3 linked regions of the Canis lupus familiaris genome follow. The main gene of each other region encodes a partner of the protein of the gene in region 2 in a complex. Links are inferred from orthologs where the notes say so. Each region holds a gene or a part of one and is shown on either strand. Other genes may lie near its edges.

Region 1 (6,072 bases), about 19 Mb from region 2:
CTGTGGGGCAGCCCACAAATGGGTTGGAGAAGAGGCAGGGAGGCCAGTGGAAACATTGATCCTAACAAACACCATGCAGGGAGTGGCTAGAAAGCCAGTGTGGGTTCTGGGGGCTTCCAGCCTGCCTGGGAGGGAAGGTCCAGTCCATGCCCTTGGTACAGGTGGGCAGTGGAGGGAGGGAGGCAGCCAGGAAGAGGAGCTGGGTTTGTGGGAGGCCAGAGTGGAGGGTGTTGGGAGGAAGATGCTGGCAGCTCCAGTCAGGAAGCTGGGGAGAAAGGGTGCACAGATTTTGGAGGTAGAGTGGACAGACTTCAGTGATGATTGGGTTGGGGTGAGGGATGAGGGAGAAGGGAAAATGAATGAAGGCCAATTTGTAGGTTTCTCCATAGGACCATGAGCAAAGGATGTTATGAATTGCTGAGCCGTGCTTAGCATAGTACATGACTGGATGCTGAGTAAATTGTTGCTATCGTGGCATCCAGAGGTCACTGAGGACCTCTTCACTCCCTACCACTCTAGGGCCATCCTCACAAACCAGGCCCGCATTCCACCTCTGTGTTCCTCTTGGGGTCTCAGTTTTCCAGTAGATGCAGGCCGCCACCAGCCTGGGAGGCTCAGCAAGGGAGGTGATTGGAAGAGTGGTAGGTAGCCAAGTGTCGGTGGCAGGCACTAGCCTTGAAGGGAGGATGGTGCCCCGGAGCAGCCCCTGGGGGGCTCAGGAAGGTCGAGTCCGAGTCAGGGCACTGTTGCTTCCACCTGCTGCTCCAGGCAGAGGCTGGAGGCTCAGCCTTGCTACTGTGGGGGCTCTGGAGGGCAGCTGTGCTGGTGCCCAGCAGGTGGCACACTTGAGCCTCCTACCCCATTCTTTGGTTGGGGGGCGGGGGGCGGGGGTGGGGTGGGGGAGGAAAGCGGCTAACCTCTTCCCTGCAGACCCACCTCAGTTCAGAGGCTGGGGATCCAAGAGTACTCCCCTCTGCTCAGGCCAAAGTTCCCCTAGCGAGGCTTGCACTGATGGGGCAGCTGCCGGGTGGCAGGAGGCAAAGGGTGGTGACAAGAGGTCTCAGCAAGGAGTCTGCAACATTATTGTCTTTGCCAATGCCAAGGACGCTCGGTGTACTCCTCCTGTTTACGCCCCACCCCACACTTTTAAATCACACTATTTCACTTCAATTCATATGTTTTCCTGGTACAGGCAGGGTTGCTCCAAATCAGTTGGTTTGGGAAAGTTTCCTGGATGATTATGGACAACACCTGTGACCGCCCTCCCCCCCCCCCCCCCCCCCCCCCCCCCGCCCGCGGCAACCCGCAACCAGAACAGTGTTGATGGCGAAGAGCTTCAGAGGCACTTCTGAGGGGAGTTCTTAGGAGGTGGGCTGGGGAGAGGGGGCCAGCAGTGGGGCTTGCTACCCCCCGCCCGGCCCTGCCCTGCCAGGTCGGCTCCTCTCAGGAGTGCCAAGCAGGCGTTTACGGAGAACACGGCCTTGGTGGACGCGGCAGATGCCGAGACTCAGCAAATCTGTGACCCGGTCGGGATCAGGAGGTTCCCCGCCCACGTGCCGGGAGCAGGTGGCCTTATTACATATAATAGGCAGGGGAAGCTGGGGGAGGCGGTGTCCAGTCCCGCTGCTCAGCAGCACGCCCGGGGACCCGGGGCCCTGCCTCCACTGCGCGCCGGCCCCAGCGCAGGGCCCTGAGCAGCACAGCCGGCCTCCCTCCGCGCTGATGTCACCGCACCCGGACCTTGGAGGCCCCTCTGACTCCGCCTCCTGAGGGAAGGCTCTGGAGTGGCGAGCGGGGAGGGCAGCGGTGCGGCTGGACAGCTGCCCTGGCCGGGAAAGAGAGGGAGAGGCGGAGAGGGAGACAGTCACACAGGGAAGAAGTGACATCCAAAGAGAGCCCCAGACTGCCGAGCCCCGGAGTGAGACAGAGGAAGAGGGGACGTGTGTCTGCAGACTGTCCCAGACGCGTGACCCCAGCTCTGAGCCCTTCGTGCAGGTGGCAGCTGCATCCAGTCTGGTGGGCAGCTGAGCGTGGGGAGCTGGGACCCCGGTAAGCACGGGCTGCCCGCTCTCCTGGGCTCTCTGGGAGAAGGGCTGCGGGACGTCTGGGGGTATCAGGGGCTTGGGCCACCTGGGAGCCATGTGCTCCTGGTCGGGGGCCCAGCCACAGCAGCCACTGAATGAAATTGTCCTGAGCCTGGGCAGATGGAGGCTTGTCGCCTGGACAAGAGAAGAGTCAAGGGGCATGGCGTCATTGAATGGTCTCTGACCAGGCCTGGGGCAGGGGCGCAAACGTGCTGGGCTGGCAACTGGGGGGCGGGGGGCGGGGGGGAGAGACACTCTTTTGGCCTCTGACACTCTTCCTTGACCTCTCTCTCTCTCTCTCTTTCTCTCTTTCTCTTTGGTAAGTGACTTCCTTCCTCTGTGCCTCAAATTTTCCATCTGTGAAATGGGAATAGGAAGCCCCCACCCCAACCCAGGGTTGTTGTGGAGACCAGGTAAAGTCAGGCATGGGCATAGACATGCAAACACAGTTTTGCTTTCCCTATTGTCAATTTGAAAAGCAATGGACTTAACAGAGACTAGTTCTCATTTTGAGGAAAAAGTTTATCTCGTAGCTTTTTTCTTACAAGAAAAAAAAAAAAGCTTACAAGAAAAATTTAATGTGGCCATTAAATTCCAAGCTTTTACCACCCCATCCACCCTCCAGGGCCCTGAAAGCCCTGGCTCTTTGCGGCCTCTGAGGCTCACGCTGGTGCAGGAGGGCAGCACCACCAGCGCTGGTGACTTGCCTTCCCGGCCGGCCAGTCTGGCACGGTCTCCAGAAGAACTGCACGCCTGCTGCGTTCCGGAGCTCCGGGGCAGGGGTCAGGGCTCAGGTGTCAGGCAGCGTCCTGGACAGAGGATCAAATGCCCCGGCGCCTCTGAATGGCCCTTGTGAAAAATTGATGCTCACCCTGGGGGGCAGGTTAGGGGGCATGGGGGCCCCCCACTGGGGCCTGTGGGCTCTGGCCACCTTGGATCACCACACTCGATTCCCACAGTTCCTTCCTGAGCAATCTCTGGGCCTGGCCCTGTACCGTGTGAGGTAGTGGCTCAGCCCCACCTCCTTGCTCTGGATTAACTCCCCAACTTTGGAGGGGGCAGACGTGGGGACAGACCCTGACCTGACAACATAATGCATATAGTCAGGGCTGGATAGACAGAAACATCAGGACTCTTGGCAGCCTAGGGGTGGTCAGGGAGGGCTTCCTGGAGAAGGCACTGTCTGAACTGAGCCATAAAGTAGAGGTGGGAATTTGCTAGTCAGCATTCCAGGTAGAAGAGTCAATGTATGCAAAAGCCAGGAGGTATGAAAAGAGGTGGCATGTTTCAGGAGTCATGAGTGCTGAGAATGGTGTATGTGCAGGGAGAGGTGAGGAAGGAACCCAGAAAGCAGTGGGAGAAAAGACTAAGACATTAGCAGGAGCCACAAGGTACTGGGCCTTCAAAGCCAGCCTGAAAGCAGAGGGTGCTCTGTGGAAGGGTTTGAGGCAGGGCATGCCATGAGCAGGTCCTGCTCAGCCTGTGCCCCCTCCTCTTGGGCCTGGCTGCTGCTGTCACCCTAGCTCCTTGGGCAGACCTGAGCAGGTGGGGGAGGCCAGAAATCAGGTCCCGATCCTGAACCTGTCTTGCTCTGCTTTGCGACTTTGGCAAGCCTTGGTCCATCTCTGGGTCCCTTTGCCCTTATGTCCAGGCGAGGGGGCTGGACTTGCTACTTCCTAGGAGCCCTTTAGAAATCTCTGAATGACCGTAACCAGGAGAAGAGCTCAGCTGCTCTGGGCAGTAGAGCTGGTGACTGTGGCTGAGGCTCAGGTCACGCAGGCTGGGCTGTGGCCAGAGGGAGAGTAGCCAGGGAGGGAGGGTTCCCCAGAGGGAGGAGTGGCTGAGACTTTGGGAAGAGCCCAGGTGACTCCAGCCAGGCTCATGGCTGCCAGGGTGGGCCTGACCAGAGGCTTCACATGGTCTCTCCCCCTGCAGAACCACATCTGGCCAGGCGGGAAGCAAGAGCATCTGAGGAAGAACAATGGTGATTCTTCAACAGGTGAGTGCTCTCTGCACCCCACTGGCCTTCATCTTTCTATTGCCAGGAAGAACTCTGTTGGGTGGCTCATCCTGCCCCATCTCACATTCATCTGGTTAAATCACAGGACACCTGCCCCAGTACTTTTTTATTTTTTATTTTTTCTAATATTTTATTTTATTTATTCATGACAGACAGAGAGAGGCGGGCAGAGACACAGGCAGAGGGAGAAGCAGGCTCCATGCAGGGAGCCCGACATGGGACTCGATCCTGGGTCTCCAGAATCATACCCCAGGCTGAAGGCAGTGCTAAACCGCTGAGTCATTGGGGCTGCCCTGCCCCAGTACTTTTAGAAATCACCTATTTATGCTTAAAACTTGCTGTGAAAATTTCCCTGTCTCTCTCAGGCCCAGTCTAGAACTGCTCCCTCTGATGTGTCTCCTGGGGCCTTCCTTTCTCACTGCACTCATCCCACTGGGTAGAAATTATTTATTTACATGCATCTCTGAATCCTCAGGCATTCCACAAAGTAGAACACGTGCAAGGCCCCAACGTGGGGCAGCCTTTGGGGACAGGGAATAAGAAGTTGGTCAGTCTAATGAAGCCAGACCAGGACAGGCCTTGAGCCTGGCACGGGAGCAGTGAGTGGCGGATGACCTGGTTGGAGCTGCAGCCTCCTAGGGTAGTACGGGAAAGAAGCAGAGGTACTGGCCCCGGCTGAGTCCTCTAGCCGCCTCCTTCCTTCTTGGGGCCACCATGGCCCCTGACCCTCAGCCCTTCCCCGTGATCAGCCTGAGGCTCTAATGAGCTCCTGGTCTCCAGAGCCAGGAATGTGGGCCCAAAGCCAGGTCAGCTTGGCACCAAGCCCTAGGGCTGGTGGGGATGTGTGCTGTGGGGACCTTGCCAGCAGCTTCATAGCCTCCAGACCCATCAGAGGCCAGTGGGCAGCCTTGTTCTGCAGCTGTGTGTGTGTGAGAGCCAGAGAGAGACAGAGACAGAGAGGAAGCAGGCTTCAGGCAGGGCAGGATCAGAATAGACAGTTTTCTATCCCAGAGTGAGGAGACCCCCCCCCCCCAAGAGCCCCTCGGCCTGGCCTGACACCTTGTTCAAAGCCCCGCCAGAGGCAGCTGAGCCAAGGGAAGGAAAGTTGCTGTCCTGGAGCATCTGCTCTGTGCAGGGGCTTTGGCTGCAGGCAGGGCTGGGTGGGTGGGGGCATTCATGGCCCCCAGAGGGGCAGCCTGGGCCACCCATAGCCCCCACGGGGTTTCCCCACAGGAAGCTATGAGGCCTCCCTTGCCCTCTCTGAACCGGCCCTCCTCACCCTGTGGGTAAACGCAGGCTCTGCCCACCCCTCACACAGCAAGGACACTTCTGTTACTGCTTTGCTCCTGGGAAAGGCCCCAGCTGGGGGGGGAGGGGGAGCCAGCCAGCTATGCAGCTCTAAGACAGAGCCCGCACCCCTGGGCTCTGGCTGGGCTTCATTTTTGATGAGTGGGCAGATGTGGGCATGTTCTTCAGCCTTCTTGAGCCTCTGTTTCCTCACCTGTAAGATGAGGGGGAAATCCCTCTTTCCTGGGTTGTTGTGAAGATAAAATGCCATGAGGGTCAGTCTAGGTGCTGCTGCTTTCTCCTGCCCCTCGAGCCCGCCTCTCCGTCCTGCCCTGAAAGACCCCGGTTCTCCCGCACATCCTGCCTGGGCACTTGGCTTCCCATTTTCCTGGCGGCCTTCTCCTCAGGCCTTGAGGTGGCCGCTCTTCCCCTGGGGAGCCTTCCCTGCTCTGCCCACGGCAGAGTCGGAGCACATTCCATCTTTGTCCTCAGTTTACCTGAGGCCCCCAGGTGAGCCTGGAAGTGGGGGACAGGCCTCTCCTGCTCCCCACTGTCTCATCAGCCCCGGCACCCAGTCCACTCAGATGAGGCTCTGTGCTAAAGAAGGAAGGACTGTTCTTACACCCTCACTCGGTCTAAGGGGCGAGGCAGACGTCGGTGGCCACCTCAAAGGGATACTGG
Region 2 (5,601 bases):
ACAGCTCATCGTCGTACTCCTTGGGGGGACAGACAGCAACAACAAGGTCGATCCAGTCCTGTGGGAAGAAGCCTGTGACTCAGGGACATGCTCAGGGGTTGGTGGCACGGCTTCCCTTGACGCTCCGTACCCGTTCCTGGGCACCATGGTTCAGGATCAGCTGGCTGGGGGGGTCGGCCCCGGTGGGGCTGGAGGTCCTTCTGGTGGGGATGGGCCTCATTGTGCAGACCCATGCTCTGGGGAAGCTTCTAGTCTCTGGGGCTTCACAACCATAGAGACCAAGATTTACAGACCCTTGAAAGACACTAAGTTCCCAAATGTTGATCTGTGGACCAGGGCCAGGGAGCAACCTCAGAATCACCTGGGGGATTTCTTAAAACTCTAGACTCACAGACTTGGCTCCTGGAGATTTGGGGTAGGTCCTGAGAAATAGTATTTGTAACAAACTCTCTAGGTGCACTTCAGGCTTAGCTTTCTGACCCTGACACTTGAATCCCCTCAATGGCACCATTGCCATCCTTGGCTTATCTATCATTGTCCACCCTTGGCTTAGGTGTACCCAATAAAAAGTATGTGAAATATCACTGGGCCCCTCTCCCATGCAATAGCTTCTAACACTGAGCTGAAAGCTCACCCCAGGACTCCCTCCATCCAATCCAGTTCTGCCCTCAAGAAACACAGAGAACACTTCTGCTCCCTCTACCCTAATACAGCCCTTCAGATAATCAAAGACAGTCATCAGGTTACCCGTGAGTCTTCTCTTCTCCACATCCCTTCATGTGGGTCCCAGGCCCATCTGGTCAGCTTCCTCGGCACTGAACTTAATACCTCAGGCTCGGCTGCCTGCGTACAGTTGCACAGGTTGTGCATTGCACAACATGAGAGGGCACTATCCACACTGTAGTCTATAGGAGGGTATCCCCTCGGATTGTGCAGTACAGAGCCTGGGAGACCTTATGTGGTGGCCTTGACCCAAGTGGCTAATGAGCACAGATCAGACTACCACCAGACCCTCCTCCATTTTGGGCACTTGTTCTATTAATGCTTTCTAGTAGCCACAGCATTTTTGATTCCTGATCAGTGTGCACTTAGAGAAGACCTTAAGTCTTTTTTCTTGCATGGGTTGCCATACCTGGTCTTCTGGAGTCTATATTTGTGCCACTTGCTTTTTGGACTCAAAGTCAGGAACTGACATTTATTTTTCTGAATCCCATCGTGTCATATTGAGACCACTGGCTGGATGGGTTATGTGGATGTCACCTAAGAATTTCCTGGCCCCTGGATCCCCGCCCTGGGATGGGGCATCCTCACTGTAAGGCCTGGCTGCAGAGGCCAGGGTTTAAGGCAGGGAGGCAAGCAGGGGAGGGAGGCCGGGAAGGGGTTTGCTCTTACCCCCTGACTCCAGGCCTTCTGCAGGGTGGCCTCAGCCTCAGCCAGGGTGTAGTCCGTCACGATCTTGCCGTTGATCGCCATGACCTCATCCCCCTTCACAATGCCACCTGCAGAAAGATAAGGCTGGCTGGTCACCTGGGCCATATGTGACGCGTGCCTGGCCCAGGACTTGGCAAAGGCGGTGGGAGGCGGGGTGGACAGGAGGCCACTGTAGGGCTACAGGAGCTTGACTCCTGGATTCTGAGATGGGCTCGGAAGGCATGAGGGGAAAACAATCCACCAGGTTACTCAAGGGCATTTCCTACCCACCCCGTCCACACTCCTTCACCCCGACTCAATAGAATCAGGACACCAGTGACAAACCATTGCCGCCCTAACCTTTGTATGGGCCTCTGCTATCACGGAGGGAGGCAGACCTGAGGGGCCCATGAGGTTATCAGAAACATGAGCTAGTTCTGTGAGCTGTTCCTGTCTGCGTCAGGCTCTTTCCCACGCCAGAGCCTTCACATGCTGTTCCAGCTGGGCCAACTGTCCCCGTCTCTTTCTTCTTTCCTTGTAGGGCTCAGGTGAAACGTCTCCTCCTCAGAGGGAACTGCTCTGACCTGCGTCCAATCTTGACGTCTTTCCTATTGTTCCCTCAAAGTATCCCAGTCTCTTCCTGCAGAGCATTTTCACAATTTGTAATCCTACATCTATTTGTTGATGGATGGTCTCTCCCACCAGATTCTCAGCTCCATGAGAGTAGGGACCTTGTCTTTGGTTGATCACCATTCCCACAGCACTTACCATAATACCTAGCACAAAACAGGAATTCGATATAGTTCTCGAATAAGTGAATGATGTTAAAGGTCTTCCTGGATAAGCTGACCTGTGGTCTAATAAATTCGGGAAAAGCCAAGTTACAAGTTAAGCAGAGTTACTCACTGCAGGACTTGTCAGAGCCTTGAATATGCTACCATGCATTGTGGCCCTCCAAGAAGTGCATAGATTGTGCTTGGTTTCTCAGACATCTTCAACTTCAGAACCTTATAAAAAATGTTCTTTTTAAGGACTTTTTCTTAGTTCTGGTGTCCACAGCACATTCTCTACATTACGTTGAAACAGATCACCCAGAAGTCTTGCTGGCAGGAAGGCCACGGGAACATAGTGTGTGTTACTGAAGATGGTGTGGCAGTGGCTTAAAGCACGTGTGCTCTTGGAGAAAATGTCACCAGCTGCTGGTTTGTCCAAAGCAGTGTGGGGCCAGACTGTAGACAGCAGTTTCCTCTGGCCCGTGGGCCTGTGGAGAGGCGACTCTCACTTTTTCCTTTTGCAGGGACTCAGGATGGAGCGTCAGGAGCAATAAGGCAGTGGTTGGGCTGGGGCTTTGAAAGGAGGGGAGGCTCCCGGGAAAGTATTCTGGTCCTCCTTCCCTGCCAGACCCAGCTGACAGGTGTCTTTCTCTCCACTGGCGTGAAGTGAGGACAGAAGAGGAGGAGGGTGTGGACTGGGAGGGCAGCCCTGGGCCACGGCAGCTGCCAGCTGAGTGGCCCCCCGCCCCCCAGCTGAAGCGACAGCTCAAAGTGTGGCTGCAAGAGGCAGGCCTGAGCTCACCGGGGCCACAGGCAGCCGAGTTCTGTGGCCTTTGGAGCTCACAGAAGCCTGGCTGCCCAGCAACCAGGTGACTCCCTGTCACTCCGCCTCCTGCCTCGGGTGCTCACCTGCCCTCCATCCTACTGACCGACCACAGCCTGGCACCATGGGACTCCTGCTCTGGCCTGGAAAGCTGAGGGTCCCAAGTCTCCCCCTTCGAGGCCACTGATTTCCTCACAAAAGACCCCAGAATACTGAAAAGGCTCCTAGCTTTGGAAGAAGAAACCACGAATGGGGAGTCTCAGACAGTCTCGCCAGGTGAGCAGGTTTAAGGCAAAAGTAAAGCAAAATATGAGCAGAGTGCTTGGGTTCAGGTCCTGCCTCCACCACTAACTGGCTGTGGGTCCCGGAACGGCCTCGGTGTCCTAAGCTGTAAGATGAGAGTGGTAACAGCACCTGCTCTTGGTGCTGTCGCAAGGATTAAGTGACCTAGTAGCACACGTGAACCCCTTAGACACAGAGGAGGTGCAGGCGCTTAGAATCACACCTGGCACATGGCGAGTTCCTGACGGCCGTCGGCCCTTATTATTTAGAGGACAGGGAAGGTTTCATGCCCTCTCTCCTGCCTTTGCATGGAGAGTTCTTGCCCACCGTCACGAGGCTCACATTGACTTATCTTCTATGGCTCAGCTCAGGTATGGTGCTTGTCGGGAGCCTTCCCGGTGGCCCCCTTTCCCTTGGTGGGTTAGGGGCCCTCGAGGTCCCACAACTTTCCTCCGTGCCCCCAGCCGTCTGTCAGCACTTAGCAGACTGCTCTGTTACAGCCGGAATCTGGCAATTCTGAGCATGTTTTCACCCCTGGATGGGGGGGAGGGGCAGAGGGCAGCGTGGGGTGCGGTGGGCTGTACGCCCATAGTCCTGGCACCATCATATGCCCATGGGTAACGTGTGGGCTCAGCAGGTGGATGGGCAGATCCAGATGGGGGGCATTCTTGAGCAACTGTCGGTCAGTCCACTCCAAGTGGGCAGCCGTGTGCTTTCCTGGGGTCCCTGTTCAACCACTGCACCATCCCCAAACTGGGGCATGGCTGGTTCCCCACTCACCATGCCGCTCGGCAGCTCCCCCCTCATACACAGCCGAGACGACCACCTTCCCGATCGGGGAGTCCACACCGCCTTCCAGGGCCAGATCTAACGATCCCTCCTGGTTAGACAAAAACAGGCCTTCAAGAGCCAAGCAGACGACAACAGCCTGTGGACACCTGGGTACCCAGGAGCCTCCTGACAGGGCTACAAAGAGGGCAGGAGAAGCCATGGGGGTCAATGACAGCGCCATCAGGGAGGGAAGGGAGCCTGGACACTAAGTGGGGCCTGAGTGTGTGCTCCCACCACAGGAGGGGACATCCTTGGGGGAGAGAGTAGATGGGTGGGGACCTGAGGAGTCACTCAGGAGTCATCTCCAGAGTAGAGGCAGGGCACCAAGATGGGAGGGGCCTGGGGCAGAGAAGGGTGGTGGCCGCCTGACCTCCATGTGCCCATGTACCTTCTTAATGCGCAGGAGCCGGACATCCTTCCCTGTGATCTGCTCCGGGGTGAACTAGAGGGAACAGGCAGTGTGGAGCTTTGAGTCTGCCTGGAGGATGAGGGTGGGGTCCCACAGGGTACATGGCCAAGGGGACCCTTCCCAGCCCCACACCCATCGGTCTTCACCTGGGGGTCCCAGGCCTCACAGGGGCCACCTGGACACACACACACACACAGGTGACCACAGAAATCCCAGATCCATTCTTTCTGAGAATATTGTGAGGGCTGGGTGAGGACATGCCCTGTAAGCACCCAGCAAGCCACACGCACCTGGTACACAGTCAGTGCTTGGCCAGTGTGACCGCTGTTACACCCTCACTGCGCCCCAACACACACTCCAGTCCTGTTTCACACTCGAATGTGGTTTGAAAGGCGCCTTTGCAGGAAAGAGCAGCTGGGGCTCCCTGGGGCTCCTCACCTGCCCCACCACGGAACACACCACACCCCTCGACCCCACATTCCCGGGACTGCTGCCCTGGGGAGGAGAGTGATCTCTCACCATCGAGTAGGGGTCAAAGCCTTCCTCATATTTCCGGAAATCCTGGAAGCGAAGGGAGTGTGTTAGGGCACAGAGTAGAGTTCCCTGAGGGTCGCTGCAGGAAACAAGCTCAGGACAGAGGAAAAAGGCATGAATGGGTCAGATGTAGGGGAGAGGGGAGGGGGCCAGGTGTGGCCTGGAGGGGGAAGCAGGGAGGAGGCTGGAAGCCCCAGGAGCCAGAGCCCCCTGCGCAGGGAGAAGCAGGAAGCTATGCAAGCATCTGCGGAGCCCAGCCCGGGCCCTGGGTAGTTGAGGCAGGGGTGGGCGCCGGCTGCTGTCCGGGTGTCTGAGCGGCCCGCGGCCTTGCCGGAGCTGTCATCTGCCTGCAGCCTCGGGTCCTGAAGGCCCTACCTGAGCTCCTCCGAGTGCTCGTGCGAGGCCAGGTCCAGGCTCTGGGGGTGAAGGCCTGGTTTTCTGCACCCAGTGCTTTGACCCCGGAGAAGGGCAACACTGTGCAAGAGGCAGCTCTCCCTGGGGAACCTGCTGCGAGATGACTGGGGTGCAGGGCGTGGGCG
Region 3 (6,198 bases), on a different chromosome or scaffold from region 2:
AGGTGCTGGTTCCCACACTGGGGGGCCCCCCGGGCGTAGATGAGGCTGGTGGCCTCAGAGTTGTGGTTGTGGGGGGATGTGGGCCAGCGCCCCCCCCAGAGCTGGTCGTAGAGGATCCCTGGGAGGGCCCCGGGGGCCTGGGGGCTTCTGAGGCAGTGCTGCTCGAGAGGCTGGTGGTTCCTCCAGCCCCTGGGGGTGTGGGGGTTTCTGGGGGCCCTGATGAACCTGGGGGGCCAGGGACAGGATCCGGGCTTGCCTCTGTCCAGCGCGCCCGCCCCGGGGAGCCCCCGCCCCCCGCCGGGGTGAGCAGCCGGGCTCACCTGTGGGGGCGGGTCCCTGCGGCTCCAGCACCTGTATCTCCAGCACCGAGCGGGCGGTGCCTGCGGTCACGGTGTTCATGGCCTCAACCTGGAGCAGAAGCGGGGCTGGTCCCTCACAGGCCCCGCCGTCGTCCCCCCTTGGGGGTGCCCCCCACCCTTACCTCTGCATAGGAGACCCCCTTTTGGGTCAGCTGGGCGGCGGTCCGCACGATCTCGCCATCCATCCGGAATTTGGTGTTATTGGTGATGCGATACGTGATGGCGGAGTTGAGGTCCTGGACACTGCGCAGTGAGCCCTGGGCCCAGGCTGCCCCCCGACTCCCCCCCCACAGAGGGCCTGGTGCCTACCGGAAAGTCGGGGTCCTGAGCCCAGACCCTCAGAGGCAGGGAGGGGCTGGCTGTGTCTCGGATCTCCACGCCCACTGCAGAGTTGAGCGCCACGGTGCCATAGTAGCGGCTCTGCGGGAACTGGGGCACGCTGCCAGTGGCACTTCGGGCCTCGATCGTGACCCAGGTCACCGAGTAGCGGGCGCCGTCTGACTGCTCACCCTGGGGGTGGGGGAGGCCTCAGCGACAAGCAGGTCCTCAAAGCCCCGGCCCCATGGAGGCCTGGCCAGGGCGCCCACCTTGACCAGCAGCGTGAAGGTCTTTGGGCTGGGAACGCTCCTGGTCATGGTGAGGTTGCCCGAGTTGGCGTCGATGGCAAATGTGCCGTCGTCTTGTCCTGCGAAGATGGGGGGAGGTGAGGCCTCTCGCTCCGTCCAGGGGTCTGAGGTCTGGGGCCCCCGCTGGCTCTGCCCACGGGCAAGTCCCCCCAGGTCCAGGATGCAGAGGCAGGGCTCCAGCGCGCACTCACCTGTCACGATGCTGTAGAGGACACGCTGGTTGACGCCCCGATCCCCGTCCACGGCATAGATGGGCCCGGGACGCAGGACAAGGGGGGCTGGCTGCAGGAGCAGGGACAGGGGAGACACCTGGGGCCGCTGAGCGGGGCCCAGCGCAGCCCCCGTTCCCCACACGGCTGCTGAGCACGCCCCGTGGGGGTGAATTTGTGCAAAGACCTCGGATTGATCTGAGCGATGGCGGCCCCAGGAGGGACAGGGAGCAGTCACACCGAGGCTGCACTCGGTACACGTGCTCGGTACCATGGGGGCCTAGAGCCCGCGTCTGCCCCGCTGCCCCCGGCGCCTTGGGGTGCCTCTTGTGGCGGGCGGCCCACTTCAGCGGGTCCCCAGGGGTTCTGGCCCGGCCGCAGGGCCCCAAGCCCACACACCCCCCGCCCCCCCACCCCCAGTACCAGTCTGTGGCCTGTGGGGATGGCCCCCTGGTACTCGGCGTTGATGCAGACGTAAAGGTCTGAATAGGCGCAGGGCAGGAACCAGGGGGGCCGGAGGTCGGCGGGCCGCACGTCCAGGACCAGGGTGGCCGTGGCTGTGTGGCTGGGCTGGGCGTTCTCCTCCTGTGTGTCCTGTGGGAGCGCAGCGGGGGTCAGGCCTGCGAGCGGGGGCTGGGGGCAGCGGGGGGGTGTCCCGGCCTGCTCACCCGCACCAGCAGCAGGAGGCTCATGTTCTGCCACTTGTAGAAGTCCAGGGGCCGGTCCAGCCGCAGGGCGGGCAGGTTGGTGCCCAGCAAGGAGAAGAAGCTACCAGCACCCTGGGGAGGTGGGGGGGGCGGGTGCGACTCAGCCTGAGACCCTGGGGAACATGGAGAGGGGCTGCCCGACGGGAGGGTTCAGAGTTGGCGTGGGGGTCGGGGACACTGACCGGGGTCACCTCTTGGAGGGTGTAGAACAAGACGTCATCCTTGTCGGGATCTTGAGCCTCCAGTTCCGTCTCAGGGATGACAGTGGTGTTCACTTTACTGTCCTGGGGATGGAGGGGAGTGGTGTCTACACCCTCGACCCCTGGTCCCCCAGGCCAAGGCCCAGGCCACTAGCCCTGCTCTCCGGCCCCTCGCCCCCCGCCCCCCGGCTCTCACCTCGGGCACGTCCTCCACCCGGAGTTTAAAGGGGAACTTGGGTGGGTTGTCGTTGACGTCCAGCACAAACACAATCACCCTCAGCTGGGTCACCTGCGGGGACACGGCCTGAGCACCCTGCATCACACACGGGCCGCCGCGAGCCCGGGGACGGCAGGTGCCCGGGCAAAGGACTTGGCTACCGGCCGGGCTGGGGCACCGCCAATCCCAGGTGAGAACCACGGCGAAATGAGCAAATCGCTTCAAAAATAATTCCCGAGGAGAAAGGAAGAGAGGAAGGGGAACCCATATGTTGAAAGAGGCTCGGGAGGGGCACCCGGCTGGCTCAGTGGGAGGAGGGGGCGACTCTTGATCTCGGGGTGGGAGTTCAGGCCCACGTTGAGGGGAGAGATTGCTTCAATAAACACACTAGAGAGGAAGGGCCGGAGGGGCAGATGCTAGAGAGAAGTAGCCGGCGGCCTCGCTGGGTGGGCCTTGCTGGCGGCTCCGTGACTGTGGGGAGGGCGGGCATCGGGGGTCACATGATGCCCACGAGTCCCTTTGCAGATAATGACAAAATCGGAAGGACCGGGGACCGTGGGCAAGCCGACAGGTGCGTGGGGGCCGGGCTTGCAGCTCAGGACAGAGTGGTCAGGGGCCCCTTGAGAAGGTGGTCCTGGAGCGAAGGCCGAGGGGCGACAGCGGGAGGCAGGTGCGCGTCTGGGGAGAGGGCTCAAGGGCAGCTGGAGCGGCCTCGGGCTGGGGCACCTGGCGCTGCCCGCTGCCCGGGGCATTCAGCCTTGCCTCTGAGCGGGAGAGCAGCCGGGGCGCCGGGCGGGGATGCGCCGCTGGCTGGGCCCGATGGTCCTGCCACACTGAGACTGGACTGGCTGAGGCCGGGAGGGGAGCAAGCAGCCAGCTCCAAGTTTCCGGAAGGGAGATGCTGGTGGCCAAGGCCCTGGTTGGTCTGGAGTCCAGCTTCAGGCAGAGCTCACGGACTTGCCGATGGAGAGAGGTGTGGGGAGGGGGTGGGGGCGAGGGAACCGGTTGGGCAAGGTGCCTCTGTGCTGGGGGGTCTGCACCTCGGGGCAGTCTGGGCGGGAGGAAGTGGGGGCGCCAGCCCAGGAGCGACACTTGTAAACCGCACAGGGTGAGGTCCCCAGGGCGGGGCCCTGGACCAGTCAGAACAGAGTGCAGAGGTCCAAGCCCAAGAGCTGTGATGTCATAGGGTGGGGGCGGCGACCCAGAGGCAGGGGATGGGGGTACTCACCACGGTGTTGCCACTCTTGCACTCCAGGTGCGCCTCCAGCAGGGTGTTCTCCTGGGGGGCAGACGGGGGCCGGGTGGTCACCAGGGTCCCCAGCGTCCACGCTAAGTCCAGGGGCAGCTCCAGCCCCTAATGGCCCTATGCCCCTTGGGGCCAGGGCATCACCAAGCCTGGAGGCCCCAGAGGGGTCCGTGGATGATGCGGGGGCGGGGCGGCCAGCGAAGCGCAGACGGACCCCGAGCAGACGGACCCCGAGCCTGGGACAGCCCCGGTCCGAGGAGCGCGCCCGCCACTCAGCTGCCCTGTGTGGGGCCCCACCCGGCCCCCCGTCTGCACCTCATAGTCAGGAGTCACGTTGAGAAACAGCTCAGTCCCCTGGATCCGAAAGGCGAAGGGAGTGGACGACGACCCGAGGGTCACCTGCTGGCCCGCGGGGACGTCGATGTGAGCCAGGGGCCCGCTCTGAATCGTGTTCTCCTGGACCTCGAAGATGTTGTTGCTTACGGCGCAGACTGGAGAGCAGGAAGGGAAGGCTCAGTGCCCCCCACCCCCCCGCCCCTGCACCCCCCCCGCCGCCCCAACTGCCCCCGCCGCCCCGCAGCTACCCTGGGCCCGTGCCGTGGCCACCAGCAGCGGCAGCAGCAGGGCCCAAGCCCCCATCTCCGTGGGCCGCGCTGCTCGACCCTGTGCGCAGCTGGCTGCCGGGTGGCGGCTCAGCGGGCGACCTTTGCCCCACCAGGCACCGCCCCACAGTGTGATCCTTTACAGGCCTCGGCCTCCAGCAGGGGGGCTTTCGCCGGCCGCCGCCCAGGCCTGGCCAGCTGCCCGGAGGGGGCGTCCCGTGGTTGCCCACCAGCCCTGGGCCACGTGCGGGGGCCATGGCCACGGGGGCTCCCGGCTCAGGGCTCCATGGGCCTGCGCAGGGCCCGGGTCGTGCTGGGTGGGCGCAGCCGGGGCAGGGGTTGGGGGCCCAGGCCTGGCTCCCGTGTCTGCTGTACCCACCCGTCCCCCTAGCCCCGGCCGCCCCTTCGCTGGGCTCTCCTTCCAGAATCATCTTGGAGCCAAGTCAGACCCCGGGTGTTCCCTCCAAGCCCACCTCCCCTCCCTGCACAGTCTGTGTCCTGGGGTCGCCCCTGCCTGTGCTGGAAACACCCCACTTCCTCCAAGGGCAGGGGTGGGGGCGGCAGTGTTTCTGGAGGCTGCTGGGAGCTCGGGGCGGGGGGAGCCCGGGTCTTCAGGGGTCCCTGGCAGGCTCCTGGGCCCTGGCCCCTGCCGCCCTACCCCAAGGGCCCCCAAGCCCAAGGCAGCAGGGGAGAGGCCCCCCCCACGCAGGGACAGTAGGGGGTGTGGCCCTTCTGCTTCCTCGCCCTTGGCTCCTGGCCTCATCCCTTCCTGTGTCAGCACCGCCTCCGTGGCTCCCCTGGGGTGTCATCCCCCTCTGCACAGGCTCAGACCACACAGCCGGGAGCAGGAGCCAGGCTCACAGCCTCCCCCTGGGGTGCACTCCTGGGCCCCTGGTGGCACCCATGCCCGTCACCTCTTCCTGCCCGGCCTGAGCCTCCTTGCCCCCCAGGTCCTCCCACCGGCTGGCACTGTGACAAGGGGCCTCCAGGGCAGGTGTCCTGTGCCCCCCCAGAGCCCCTGAATGTTTGCTGAGTAGCTGGCAGGGATCCGGATGGGTCTCTGGGGAGCTCAGGTGACAGGACAGGAGACAGAAGGGAGGTGAGGCGCCCCACAGGCTCCCAGGTGTAAAGGGCACTGGGTGTGGCCACAGTCCTGGAGCCTGTGGTCGCCTGGTGCCGCCAGCCCCGCCCTGGGGGACGGCGCAGAGGGAGCTCAGAGGGCCACCGTCTGAATTCCTCTTTATTGGTGACAGTTACAACCCGTCCCCTGCCCCCTCCCGTCCAGGCCCCAGTCGGCTCCGGGCGGCGGCCGTGGCGGCTGCCGCGGCAGGTCCCTTCTTCCTCAAGGCCTCCTCCGTGTCACCTGGGCAGCAGGGATGGCCGGCTCCGAAAACGAGGCCCCAGACCCGGTTCCGGGAGGCGGCTGGGGAGCCCAGGCCTGATCCAGGGGGTCCCTCAGGGGCACCCTGTGGACACAGCGGGTGAGGCGGGAGCGAGAAGCTGGCCTCCGGGTCACCAGCGCCCCTCACCTCCGCGCCCCCCGGGCCCAGGGCCGGTGCTCACCAGGCGCGCAGGGCGGGCGAGTCGGGCCAGCGCAGGCACAGGCGGCCGTCGGGGGCCGTGGTCCAGCTCGTGCTGTTCTCTGCGTCCTGCTCGCTGCCCCCCGCCCCGACCAGCGTTAGTCCTGGGGCTGCCCCAGCCAGGCGCCCTCCGACCCGGTCCCAGCACCACCCCCCCCCCGCCCCGTCCCCGCCCCGCCCTCACCTGCGCTTCCCCACCAGCCCCTGGAGCAGCCGCTGCAGCCGGGCGCTCTCCCGCAGGCGGCTGAGCTCGCTGGTGAACGTGCCGTCCGAGTGCCGCGGGGCCCTGCGGAGGGACGGAGGGGCGAGGGGCGGAGGGGCGAGGGGCGGAGGGGTGAAGGGGCGGAGGGGCGAAGGGGAGGAGGGGCGAGGGGCGGAGGGGAGGAGGGGCGGAGGGGAGGAGGGGCGAGGGGCGGAGGGACGAGGGGCGAGGGGAGGAGGGGCGAGGGGCG

Evidence for each region.
Region 1: the proteins of USH1C (region 2) and MYO7A are in contact, whole or in part, in a crystal structure (PDB 5MV9), measured with the Homo sapiens proteins. The link is inferred for Canis lupus familiaris from reciprocal best matches to the Homo sapiens genes USH1C and MYO7A. Residues at the interface, in NP_001284693.1 of Homo sapiens: Glu450, Pro456, Ile457, Val461, Val462, Ser463, Tyr466, Glu467, Lys479, Gly480, Pro522, Tyr526, Asp527, Asp528, Glu529, Leu530, Thr531, Phe532, Phe533; in NP_000251.3 of Homo sapiens: Phe1946, Val1953, Ala1976, Lys1995, Lys1996, Trp1998, Gln2017, Pro2020, Lys2021, Arg2024, Tyr2026, Ser2112, Ala2113, Phe2114, Phe2115, Glu2116, Val2117, Lys2118, Ile2128, Ser2161, Gly2163, Asn2164, Thr2165, Tyr2166, His2168, Leu2181, Glu2183, Thr2184, Ser2185, Leu2186.
Region 3: USH1C (region 2) and CDHR5 share a complex: the UniProt entries of both Homo sapiens proteins name them as parts of the IMAC/intermicrovillar adhesion complex. The link is inferred for Canis lupus familiaris from reciprocal best matches to the Homo sapiens genes USH1C and CDHR5.

Annotation. Positions count from the first base shown.
Region 1 is NC_049242.1:21,734,764-21,740,835, reverse strand, and holds the start of MYO7A (unconventional myosin-VIIa), read left to right. Parts: upstream 1-1,803; 5' UTR 1,804-2,049; intron 2,050-4,019; 5' UTR 4,020-4,065; coding exon 4,066-4,083; intron 4,084-6,072. UniProt on the Homo sapiens protein: Myosins are actin-based motor molecules with ATPase activity. Unconventional myosins serve in intracellular movements. Their highly divergent tails bind to membranous compartments, which are then moved relative to actin filaments.
Region 2 is NC_049242.1:40,722,093-40,727,693, forward strand, and holds part of USH1C (harmonin), read right to left. Parts: intron 5,090-5,601; coding exon 5,048-5,089; intron 4,562-5,047; coding exon 4,508-4,561; intron 4,169-4,507; coding exon 4,069-4,168; intron 1,500-4,068; coding exon 1,393-1,499; intron 646-1,392; coding exon 643-645; intron 59-642; coding exon 3-58; intron 1-2. UniProt on the Homo sapiens protein: Anchoring/scaffolding protein that is a part of the functional network formed by USH1C, USH1G, CDH23 and MYO7A that mediates mechanotransduction in cochlear hair cells. Required for normal development and maintenance of cochlear hair cell bundles.
Region 3 is NC_049239.1:26,064,941-26,071,138, forward strand, and holds the start of CDHR5 (cadherin-related family member 5), read right to left. Parts: upstream 4,270-6,198; 5' UTR 4,204-4,269; coding exon 4,149-4,203; intron 4,056-4,148; coding exon 3,880-4,055; intron 3,598-3,879; coding exon 3,547-3,597; intron 2,391-3,546; coding exon 2,298-2,390; intron 2,186-2,297; coding exon 2,084-2,185; intron 1,974-2,083; coding exon 1,863-1,973; intron 1,789-1,862; coding exon 1,618-1,788; intron 1,268-1,617; coding exon 1,177-1,267; intron 1,045-1,176; coding exon 947-1,044; intron 870-946; coding exon 669-869; intron 596-668; coding exon 482-595; intron 409-481; coding exon 321-408; intron 226-320; coding exon 1-225. UniProt on the Homo sapiens protein: Intermicrovillar adhesion molecule that forms, via its extracellular domain, calcium-dependent heterophilic complexes with CDHR2 on adjacent microvilli. Thereby, controls the packing of microvilli at the apical membrane of epithelial cells.